Oryctolagus cuniculus: one gene and its partners. The main gene of each other region encodes a partner of the protein of the gene in region 2 in a complex. Links are inferred from orthologs where the notes say so. Each region holds a gene or a part of one and is shown on either strand. Other genes may lie near its edges.

Evidence for each region.
Region 1: HDAC1 (region 2) and HMG20B share a complex: the UniProt entries of both Homo sapiens proteins name them as parts of the BHC histone deacetylase complex. The link is inferred for Oryctolagus cuniculus from reciprocal best matches to the Homo sapiens genes HDAC1 and HMG20B.
Region 3: HDAC1 (region 2) and MTA2 share a complex: the UniProt entries of both Homo sapiens proteins name them as parts of the nucleosome remodeling and deacetylase (NuRD) repressor complex. The link is inferred for Oryctolagus cuniculus from reciprocal best matches to the Homo sapiens genes HDAC1 and MTA2.

What each region holds. Positions count from the first base shown.
Region 1 is NC_091447.1:59,467,547-59,471,287, forward strand, and holds the start of HMG20B (SWI/SNF-related matrix-associated actin-dependent regulator of chromatin subfamily E member 1-related), read right to left. Parts: upstream 2,642-3,741; 5' UTR 2,609-2,641; coding exon 2,546-2,608; intron 2,321-2,545; coding exon 2,265-2,320; intron 1,935-2,264; coding exon 1,826-1,934; intron 1,516-1,825; coding exon 1,312-1,515; intron 774-1,311; coding exon 653-773; intron 564-652; coding exon 517-563; intron 127-516; coding exon 54-126; intron 1-53. UniProt on the Homo sapiens protein: Required for correct progression through G2 phase of the cell cycle and entry into mitosis. Required for RCOR1/CoREST mediated repression of neuronal specific gene promoters.
Region 2 is NC_091438.1:140,171,663-140,175,303, forward strand, and holds part of HDAC1 (histone deacetylase 1), read right to left. Parts: intron 3,500-3,641; coding exon 3,387-3,499; intron 1-3,386. UniProt on the Homo sapiens protein: Histone deacetylase that catalyzes the deacetylation of lysine residues on the N-terminal part of the core histones (H2A, H2B, H3 and H4).
Region 3 is NC_091432.1:8,952,980-8,956,720, reverse strand, and holds the start of MTA2 (metastasis-associated protein MTA2), read right to left. Parts: upstream 2,322-3,741; 5' UTR 1,908-2,321; coding exon 1,880-1,907; intron 1,203-1,879; coding exon 1,135-1,202; intron 795-1,134; coding exon 701-794; intron 1-700. Other genes in the region: EML3 (echinoderm microtubule-associated protein-like 3), read right to left, coding at 2,655-3,085, 3,166-3,186, 3,544-3,642. UniProt on the Homo sapiens protein: May function as a transcriptional coregulator. Acts as a component of the histone deacetylase NuRD complex which participates in the remodeling of chromatin.

The DNA of each region.
Region 1 (3,741 bases), on a different chromosome or scaffold from region 2:
GCCCCGCGCCCCCTCCCCGCGCCCCCCCCGCGCCGGGACCACCGGGCGCCAACCTTTGTTTTGGTCCAGAAACTCCTCAGTGAAGATAGGGACGTCGAAGGCGGCCAGGCCGTCGCAGTCCCCGGCCTGGGTCGGGGGGCGAGGTGGCTATGCTGGGGGGAGCTCCCGGGGCACCTAGGCCTGCGCCCGCCCGCGGCTCCCCACACCCACCCGGCCGGCTCCCTGCCCCCTTCCCGTGGCTCCCCACACCCACCTGGCCTGCTCCCCACGCCCTCCCGGCCGGCTCCCCATGGCTCCCCGTGGCTCCCCGCCCCCTCCCGGCCAGCTCCCCGGGCCCTCCCGGCCGGGTCCCCGTGGCTCCCCGCGCCCTCCCGGCCTGCCCCCCATGGCTCCCCGTGGCTCCCCGCCCCCTCCCTGCCTGCTCCCCGTGGCTCCCCGCACCCCTCCCGGCCGGCTCCCCGCGGCACCCCGCACCCTCCCTGCCTGCTGCCCGGGCGGGCACAGGGCCGCGCTCACCTTGTACCCGTTCAACACGGTGTTCAGCAGCCCGGAGCCCGAGTCCTCTGGCGGGAGGGAGGGGCAGGGTCAGCGCCCATCACGCAGTGGCCTTGGCCATGGCCGGGCTGTGGCTCCGCCCCCACGCCCCGCCCACCTCTCTTGGCTTTCTTCTCCTGGATTTTCTCGGCGCACATCTGGTAGGCCTCGGACTGCTGGTAGGCCCGCAGCTCCCGCATGTACTGCTGCTTCTCGCGCTCCGCCTCGTCCAGGTACCGCTGCGGGTGGGCGGGCAGGTGGGCCCGAGCCCCGCCCCGCCCCGCCCCCGCTGCACCCTCGGTGGCCCCGGCCCGCACCCCACTCGCAACAGGCGCAGACCAGCGCTGGCCTCCGTCGGACCCGCCTGGGTTTTCCACATTTAAACTAACGCGCAAATCTGGGTTCAGCAGAGACCCGGCCCTGTCCGACCGGGCGGGCGCTGACCGAGGCCGGTGCCCCCTTCGGCCCTGTCCAACCCGGGCGGGCGCTGACCGAGACCGGTGCCCCCTTCGGCCCTGTCCGACCGGGCGGGCGCTGACCGAGGCCGGTGCCCCCTTCGGCCCTGTCCGACCCGGCCGGGCGCTGACCGAGGCCGGTGCCCCCTTCGGCCCTGTCCGACCCCGGTGGGCGCCGACCGAGGCCGGTGCCCCCTTCGGCCCTGTCCGACCCCGGTGGGCGCTGACCGAGGCCGGTGCCCCCTTCGGCCCTGTCCGACCCCGGCGGGCACCGACCGAGCGAGGCCAGCCAGGGCGCGCCGGGGCCCCTCGGCCGCCGCACCTGCTTCTCCGCCGGCTGCAGCTTGCTCCACTCGGCGCCCAGCATCTTCGTGATCTCGGGGAACGGCAGGTCTGGGTGGCGCGTGCGGATCTGCTCCCGCCGCTCGTTCAGGAAGCGCACGTAGCCGGTGACCGGCGCCTTGGGCCCGTTCGGCAGGACCTTCTTCCGCTTCTTGCCCTTGGGCCAGCCGCGCTTCCTGACCGGCTGCGGAACGGGGCGCGTGGGCAGGGGCCGGGGCCCCGAGAGGGCCAGGCTGGAGGAGGACCAGGTCCAAGGGGGCCTGGACCTGGGCAGGCGGACCGCGGGTCCCCTGGGGGTGTGGCTTCTGATTGTGGGCGTGGCCTCTGACAGAAAGAAGCGCTTATAGGCGGCCCAAAGGAAAGCTCCGCCCAAAGGGCGGGGTCACCGGGATGTGGGCGGGGCGAGGGGGGATAGTGGGACAGTGTTCCCCGGATACCGGGCAGTGGGCGGAGCCACAAGACTTGCACACGGGGCGGGCGGGCCCTGTGCTCACCTCCTCCTCCTGGGACCCCTTCTCGCCGGCCCGCGGGCCCTCGGCGCGCTCCTGCTTGACCGCGACCACGAAGCCCCCGTGTGGGCCCGGAGCCCTGCCGCCCGCCGGCCTGCAGCCACGGGGCACGGGGTCACCAGGGTCACGCCGGCCCCTGGAGCCCAGACCGCCGCCCGCCGGGGTCGGGACATGGGCAGATCGGGGAGGGGACGCAGAGGCGGCCTTGGGAGGACGGAGCCCAGCCGGGGGGCGCGGGCCGGGTCAGGACGGGAGCCCGAGGGGGCCTAGGAAGGAGCGGGGCTGGGGAAGGGGTGGAGGCGGGGCGGGGGCAGGAGGGGCTGGGGAGGGGGCCGGGGCAGGGCGCAGGCCGGGCTGGGGAGGTGGCGACCCGGGAGAAACCCTCCAAGGGGGCAGGGCGCTGGGGCGGGGGCGGCGCACTCACGCGGCGGCCGCGCCGGGCTGCTTGGGGCCGTGGGACATGGCGGCTCCGGGCCGGACCTGCAACGCAGACGCGCGGCGTCGGCGAGGGGCGCCCGGGACCCCGGGGGGTGCGCTGGGGGCGGGGACGCGCTCGAGGGCGGGCGCCGGGGGCTCCTTTGTTGGGCGATCGCCGCCCCCGGGGGCCCGCCCGGCCCCGCCCCCGGCCCGAGGCGGCCCCGGCCGCGCCCCGCGCCCCCCGCGCCCCCGCCCTGCGCGGGACCCCGACTTCCGCGCGGCTTTCACCTCCACAGAAACTTTCCCGGCCCTGGCGGCCGCCGCGACGCGCCAACCAACCGCCCCCGGCATGCTAATGAGGCCCCGGCGAGCGGCCCGATTGGCCGGGGCCCGCCCCGGGGGCGTGATCATGTAGATGAGGGTCGGCGCGCCGCTCGGCGATTGGCCGCAGCGGCTGCCGAGTCGCCGGGGAGGCGGGCCGGGGAGGCGGCGGGCGGCGCGTCAAGTTCGGCTGCGCGAGGCCGCGCTCGGGGCCAATCCCTGGCGTCCGAGGCCGCGCGGGGCGGAGCCTCTTAAAGGGCCAGCAGGCGCGCGCGGATCCGGGTTCGGCCCCGCCCCGGTTGCCGTGGGGACGCAGGGGGTCGCTAGGGCGAGGGGGCTCTGGTTCTTAGCACCCGCAGAGCTGGGGAGGGGGCCAAACCCGCCGTGGCCGAGAGGCTGGAGCGCTGCGTGGCCGAGACCGGGCCTGGGTCAGGCGGGGGCTGGACAGGCGACCTGGGCCGGGGTCAGGCGGGGGCTGGGCAGGAGACCCGGGCCGGAGTCAGCCCCATCTGCACGGCCGTCAGTCCTCGGGCACCCTGGGCACCTTGGCCGCCCCCCGCCCCATCTGCCTGCTCACGCACAGGTCCTCGCACAAACCAAGGGGCGAGTCCGGTGTCCACGGGGCGGGTGCGTGGGTTTGGGAGCGGCTGGCGCTCACGGACGGTCAGCCCGGCAGTCCCGGGGTGCGGCTGCGGGAGAACCTGCGCGAGGCTCCCCGCAAAACGGGACAGACGTCTGCGGCCCGGAGTGCGGGGCCGAGTACTTGCGGGCCCCGCAGACGTCACGCCGGGGAGCACGAACGCGCGTGGGGCCCCACGGCCGGGCAGGGGACTCCGCGGGGACAGGAAGGGGGCGTGGTCGCCGCGGCCTGAGGGAGGGGCTGGGCACTGCCTTCGGGGGTGACGAGAATGTTCTAAATTTAGACGGCGCAGACTGGAATCCACGGACGCCCTGAGGCTCTGCTGCGGGGCCCCGCCTCCTTGCTGTGATTGACAAGGCTGCTGTTGCCGTAGGAACTGCCCTGCGGGCCCCGCCTCCGAGCCGTGATGGACAGGCTGGCGTTGCCGTAGGAACTGCCCTGCGGGCCCCGCCTCTGTCCGTGATGGACAGGCTGGCGTTGCCGTAGGAACTGCCCTGCGGGCCCCGCCTCCGTCCGTGATGGA
Region 2 (3,641 bases):
CCATCTGGGGAGTGAACCAGCGGATGGAAGACCTCTTTCTCTGTCTCTGCCTCTTTGTAACTCTGACTTTCAAATAAATAAGTAAATCATAAAAAAAAAAGGGGGGGGGGAGAAAGACAACAGGTCTAGCATTAGGGAAGAGAGATGATACTAGGTTTTTCCTTTAAAAGTTTATGATAGGGGCTGGCACCATGGCACAGTGGGTAAAGCTGCTGTCTGTGGAGCCGTCATCCCATATGGGCGCCAGTTCAATCCACTTTTTTTTTTTTTTTTTTTTTGACAGGCAGTTAGACAGTGAGAGAGAGACAAAGAGAAAGGTCTTCCTTCTGTTGGTTACTCCCCAAATGGCCGTTATGGCCGGCGTGCTGCGCCGATCCAAAGCCAGGAGCCAGGTGCTTCTTCCTGGTCTCCCATGTGGGTGCAGGGCCCAAGCACTTGGGCCATCCTCCCCTGCACTCCTGGGCCACAGCAGAGAGCTGGACTGGAAGAGGAGCAACCGAGGACAGAACCCAGGGTACTGGTGCCGCAGGTGGAGGATTAGCCTAGTGAGCCGCAGCGCCGGCCTCAATCCACTTCTGATCCAGCTCCCAGCTAATGCGCTTGGGAAAGCAGGATGGGTAGCCCAAGTGTTTGGGCCCCTGCACCCATGTGGGAGACCAGGAAGAAGCTCTTGGCTCCTGGCTTCAGACTGGCTTAGCTACGCTGTTGCAGCCATTCGGAGGTAAACCAATGGATAGAAGATCTCTCTCTCTCTCTGTCTCTCCCTCTCTCTGTCCATAACTCTGCCTTTCTGTCTTTCAAATAAATGAATAAATCTTAAAAAAAAAAAAAAGTTTATAAGAACACCACAGGGAAATTCACCTCCCATAAGGAAGTTACTACTGGTTGCTTCCCAAAGAGCCATCCTGTTCCTTCTTCCTTGGTAACAAAATGTACCCAGCCCTAGGAATAGAATCATGATTAGCCTAGGCCAGCTCTGGTAATTCTATCCGTCTACACTGGTGAGTGGTCTCAGGAATGAGATGATGGGAGGTAAGGGGGAGTGTATTGGGAAGCTCCTGGGGAGTTTTTCTCCTTGATAGAAAGAGCTAGGCGGCTCCCCAGAGTTCCTGAAAACCTCTGCTGCCTTGTATGCTTTCTTCCCCACCTGTTCTTCACACCTGATAAAGCACTGTGGTCCCAAGGTCTGCTCGCCCTGTCTACCTTCCCCAGTTGGCTCCACCAGCTCCAGAGACACGACAAAGCCATCTGGGACAGAAGACTCATCTCCTTTCAGTCTCTGGAATGGTGAGAAGGATGCTGCTGTTGCTAGGTTACTCAAACTGTCAGTACAGCCTTTAACAGCAGGCACCACGCCATAAAGCAACATGGGCCCCCAGCCCCTCTTTATTTTCTCACTTGGACTCTAGCAACAGGCTCCTAAGTGGCCTACCTGCTTGTAAAATACATGCCTATCTATTCTTATATCTTTTATTTAAAACCTTTCACTTTTCCCCCACCACCTCCAGAACAGATTAAATTGGGAACCACCGAACCACATTTGGTCCGCACGTGTATTGATGTGTTTTATATACAAACATTTAAAACAAAAACCCTGTGCCAACATTTTAAACCGAGGAGGTTTTGCATACTAATTTGGATTTCCAGCTTCTTAAAATCTGGAAGACCAGGTAGAATCAAGTGGAGCTGAGACTGGTGGTTAGACAGAAGCCTACACTCTCTCGTAACCACAGACTTGGCAACTTGTCCAACACGATCCCCAGTCACTCCTTTTTTAGCCACTGGATTTCCGACCCTGGCCTACAAGAGTGGTTTAGCACAGCACATCCAACGCTGGCTGACCTCTCCAGCTCTACGCCCTGCCTCACGTCTGTGAATTCACATTGTATCCCTACACATAAAAACGGATTTTTCGGCCGGCGCCGCGGCTCACTAGGCTAATCCTCCGCCTAGCGGCGCCGGCACACCGGGTTCTAGTCCCGGTTGGGGCGCCGGATTCTGTCCCGGTTGCCCCTCTTCCAGGCCAGCCCTCTGCTGTGGCCCGGGAGTGCAGTGGAGGATGGCCCAGGTGCTTGGGCCCTGCACCCCATGGGAGACCAGGAAAAGCACCTGGCTCCTGGCTCCTGCCATCGGATCAGCACGGTGCGCCGGCCACATCGCGCTGGCCGCGGCGGCCATTGGAGGGTGAACCAACGGCAAAGGAAGACCTTTCTCTCTGTCTCTCTCTCTCACTGTCCACTCTGCCTGTCAAAAAAAACAAAACAAAAAAAAAAAAAAAAAAAACGGATTTTTCCTCAAATACCTCAGCCTTTTTGCATATATAATATGCATATGCATATACTGCATATATTCTTCCCCCTACCAGTCCCCTCCTGAACTCAAGGATAATTTTTTGTAAGATTTATTTATTTATTTCAAAGTCAGAGCTCTTCCATCTGCTGGTTCACCCCCCAGATGGCTGCAATGGCCAGGGCTGGGCCAGGCTGAAGCCAGGAGCCAGGAGCTTCATCTGGGTCTCCTACTTGATGGCAGGGACTCAAGCACTTGGGCCATGTTTAGCTGCTTTTCTCAGGACATTAGCAGGGAGCTGGGTCAGAAGTGGAGCAGGGGCCGGCACCGTGGCATAGCAGGTAAAGCTGCCGCCTGCAGTGCCAGCATCCATATGGGATGCTGGTTCAAGTCCCGGCTGCTCCATTTTCAATCCATCTGTCTGCTATGGCCTGGAAAGCAGTAGAAGATAGACCCAAGTGCTTGGGCCCTTGAAACCACATGGGAGACCCAGAAGAAGCTCCAGGCTTCTGGCTTCAGATTGGCCCAGCTCCAGCCATTGCAGCCATTTTGGGAGTGATCCAAAAGACAGAAGACCTCTCTCTGTCTCTCTCTGTCTCTGTCTCTCTCTGTCTCTGTAACTCTACCTTTCAAATAAATAAGTAAATCTTAAAAATAAATAAACAAACAAGTAGAGCAGCCAAGACATGAACCAGCACCCATATGGGATGCCAGCTTGGCAGGGAGTGGCTTTACCCACTACACAACACCAGCCCCTCCAGGCTAAATTCTATTCAATCTTTAAAATTTCTCATATATCACTTCCTAGAATCAATTCAAGCCCCCTTTCCTCCTTCCTTCCTCATTATCTCTGCATCTTGCACATTTTCTAAACTGTTGCTCTTACACACTGCAGTATGATTTATTTATATGGGGGTCTCCTGCAGCTGGGAATTGAATACAAGTGCTCCGAAGTGGAACACAAGCATCTTAACTGATAGGCCAATGCCCACATTTGCTTAATGAGTGCATGGTTTAGAAAATCAGATAGTAAATGGCATTTGGGGGACCAGAGCTGATGAGGTAACAGAGGGGAACACTCGCAGTAAGTAACTCACATAGATTTCCATTTTCCGGTAGAGACCATAGTTGAGCAGCAAGTTGTGAGTCATGCGGATCCGGTGAGGCTTCATTGGATGGCCTTGTCCATAGTAGTAATTCCCAACATCACCTGAAGAACAGGGAGAGTTCTGATGACCGTTAGACACATACTCCCAGGAGAACCCAGGAATTTTTACAGCAATCTGTCTTTCTGGGTTATTTCTTGAGCCCAAGATTATCTCTCTACCTAAAAGAAATGTAACTCTAAAAGA
Region 3 (3,741 bases), on a different chromosome or scaffold from region 2:
CCGGCTCTCCTCATTAACCCCTTCAAGCCCAGTGCAGCCTTTAAAAAGGAAAATAACTTAGACAAGAGGAAGAGGAAAGAAAACCAAAGCAGGAAAGGAAAAAGAAGCCAAGGAAAAAATGAAGGCAATACATTTTCCAAAAGAAAATGAGAGCTTAAAAGGAAGGAAGATAAGGCAAAAGGAAAAAGGAAAGAAGTAAAATGGAGTAGAGGGGACATGGAAGAGGTGAGAAACAAGAAAAAGTGCAAGAACACTTTCCTGCCATATCCTAACTTCCATTCTCTCCCTTCACCGCGTTCGCACCACCTCGTGATTATAAAGTAAGCCTGCTTCCCTGCTGCACAGGCTTCTCAGTACAATCTCTTCCTTCTCACCTTGACCCTCAGACACCCCTCATTGTCTCAGTGTACTCAAAACTCTACCCCCCCAAAGTGTCCTGCTTCTCTTCCTTACCTCCTATGTAAACACTATCATTTCTGTCTCTCTCTCACACACACACACACACATACACCATAGTCTGGCTTTCCTTATCATGGTCTCTCCACCCTGCTTCCAACCCCAACGTGTAAAAACAGGCCTCCCTCCACAAACCAGGCACTTCCCACCCCCAAAACTCACACCCCTGCTTTGGGCATGCTACCAGGGGAAACACCTGCAGGGACATGCCCAGATGGCAGGAGGAGGGGATGAAGACACTCACTGGCATTACTATCGGCCAGGCTGTTGAGGCTACTAGAAATGTCCCTTCGCCGGAAAAGACAGACAACCTTTGCCTCCACATTTCCATTTGCAGTCTAAGAGAGGGGAAAAAAACGTAGCAGTGAAAATTGGTTATCTGAAAGTGGAAATGCACAGAGCCTAACAACATGGAATAAATTTCTAAGGGACCTAAGTAAAAGAGCTCAAGAAATTATAAGGATTTAATTCAAGGACAGACTTCCAAACCCCTTTCCTTTGCACCCGAGAGACAGATGAGGAAGACTCCCACTAAGCTCTCAATAGCCTGTCCTGTATGCACCCAATGAATGAATGAATATGAATGAGCACTCAGGTTAGTGGCCTCTCTTCCACCCGAACTTAGAGACCTCAAAGGAGCCCACTTGGGGGATGGGGAGGGGGGTCTATTCCACTCACCTTGTTGAGCTCCTCAATCCGTCTAACCAGGTAAGGATTGCTGGAGGAGTTCTCAAAATAGACGTAATCTGTAGGAGGGGGTGGGGAAGAACGGGAAGATGGGACAGCCAGTCAGGGTAGGAGGAGAGAAAACCGCCCGCGTCGACCAAAAGTGGGTAAGGGTCCAGGCAGGGGAGGCTCGAGTGTGGACAGGGGCAGACTAAGATGCCTCCACCTTGCCGCATCGGATTCTAAATCACACCCTTCGCTCAAAAGTGAGCCTTCAGGAAAAGACAGGCAGCAGTTTCCCCCAACTCAGCGATGGAGTTGCACTCCAGCCCCGGCGAAGTGAACAATTGTTCGCTCCAGCACCCGGCCCCCGCCTTGGCGGAGCGAGGCGCACAATAACGCCCAGGGAGAAGAAACCTCAGGCTGCTCCCCGCAGGTAGCACAGCCGTCGCCGCGGGCCCCCCGCCCCCGGGGCCCCGTCCCTATCCTGTCAGCTCCTTCGGAACCAGTTTCTCAAGCCCACTCCCCGCCCCAGGGGCCCGCGGTGCCGCACTCCGAGTGCCGTCGGGGCTGCCCGCAGCCTCTCCCGACCCCCGGAGCCCGGCCGCGTCGCGGTCCCCGCACCCTCGCTCCCCGGGCTCCCGGTTCCGGTTCCGGTCCGAGCTCCGGTCCACGCCGCCCCAGACGCGGCTCCCTGCGCCGCCGAGTGCCCGGCCCCCCCTGCCCCGGGCCCCGCGCCCCTGCGCCCGGTACTCACCCCCCACCCGGTACATGTTGGCCGCCATGGCCGTTCCCGCCGCCGCCTCCGGCCGCACAAAGGGGTCCGGGAAGCTCGCGGGGGCAGGGCTCGGCTCGAGGCGAAGCCCCGAGAGCCGGGCCGGCGCTCTGGGAGAGTCTTCCTGGGGTCCGCGCAGCCGGCGCCTCCGCTGCCTCAGCCGTCGCGGTTCATCCCGGCCCGCGCTGTCGCCGCCGCTGCTGCCGCCTCAAGCCCGGGACGCCGAGGCCGGCGCCGGTCCGCTCGGCTTCTTCCGGAACGAACTCGGCTCCTGCCGGACCGGAGCCAGGCTCCGGCTAGCCGCCCCCCCACCCCCACCCCCGACCTCGACCGGTCCCACCAGACGTTGAGCTCCGCGGGCCCAGGGGAGGCTAGCCCTGCCCGCCTCGGGATTCGCCTTCTTCCGGAACACCTTCGGCTGATCGGAGAACAAGGCCCGGCGCTCGGCTCAGGTCGGAGAGCAAGACCCCACAGATCGGCTACTTCCGGAATGAGCTCGAGTGGCTTCGGCCAACCGCGGCCCGTCCCTCGGTTATTTCCGTTGCAGCTCGGGACCGCCCCCTCCCCGAGGGCGGGGGAGGAGGCGGGCTTAACCCTTCCCTCGCAGGAGTCTGCGGCTCCGCCTGACGTCCCGCAAGGCGCGCGCGCCCTCGCGCTTCGCCGGGCGGTCTGCAAACAGCTTTGCCTACCATTTGCATGAACGGCCTACGGGCGCTTTCCACACTCCTCTTCGCCTCCATCCCACCCCTCGGGGTCCCTAGGGCACCCAGCTGCGCCCCACAAAAGCACAGGGAGGCGACTCTGGTTTTGGTTTATTGCCCCTCAGCAGGCAGCAGGAGTCAGGACCCAGGCTGGGGCGGCCCGGCTCGGCCAGCGGGTCCCTACAGTGTGTGCAGGGGCGATCGCCCCCCGGGGAGATGCGCACTTGGGAATGTCTCGAAGTCGAGGAAAAGGGGCCGGCCAGTCGGTCCGGTCCGGCAGCGATCAGACGTCCAGAGAGGAGGCGGGGGACAGGGACGGGGTCCGGGAGGGCGTGGCGGCCGCCGGCCCCGCGCCCCCAGCGCCCAGCACGCGCCACTGGAAGATGCTGGCGTCCTTGCCGCCTAGTGAGACGAGGTACGAGTCGTCGTGCGTGAACCGGACGCTGGTCACGTGGCTGCCGTGGCCCCCGTACACGCGGCTCGGCGCCTGGCGGGGAGGGGAGGGTGAGCGGCAGCGCCGTCCGGGCCCGCCCTGGCCCGCGCCCCCGGCGCCCCGGGCAGCCTCACCTTGGCGCGCGCGCACGGGTACTGGAAGAGGTGCACTTTGCAGAAGTCATCGGCCACAGCCACCACGCGCTCGTCGTGGGAGCGGCACAGCGAGTTGATGTCGGTCCCGTCGGAGCCGTCCGGCCACACGCCTAGCACAGCGACGGCCTCAGCCCGGCCCCCTGCCCGCCACCACCCGCGGCCCAGCGTAGCCCCATCTCTGGCACTCGCTGCCACCAACAACCGGCCGCCTTCCAGGCAGTCCTTCCTGGTCCCGAGGGCGAAGGGGTAGGGGGCCCGTGGGCTGGGTCCTCCGCAGGTTCTCCGAACACCCGCCCGGCGTGCCGAGCCCACAGCGGGCTCCACCTCGTCCCGCTCGGGCCCCCCACCCCTGCTCACCGTACACGTGGAAGCCCAGCACGCAAGTGTAGGTGGCCCATTCCCTGTCTCGGCTCTCATAGCGATTCCTCAGCAGCTTGCAGCCTCCAGCCACGTCCCCTGGGGAGACAGCCGGCCCAGCTCAGCCCACCCTGCCCGCAGCTGGAAACATGCCCGAGAAGGCCAGGATGGTCAGACTGGTTTGAGGTGAGGCTCTGG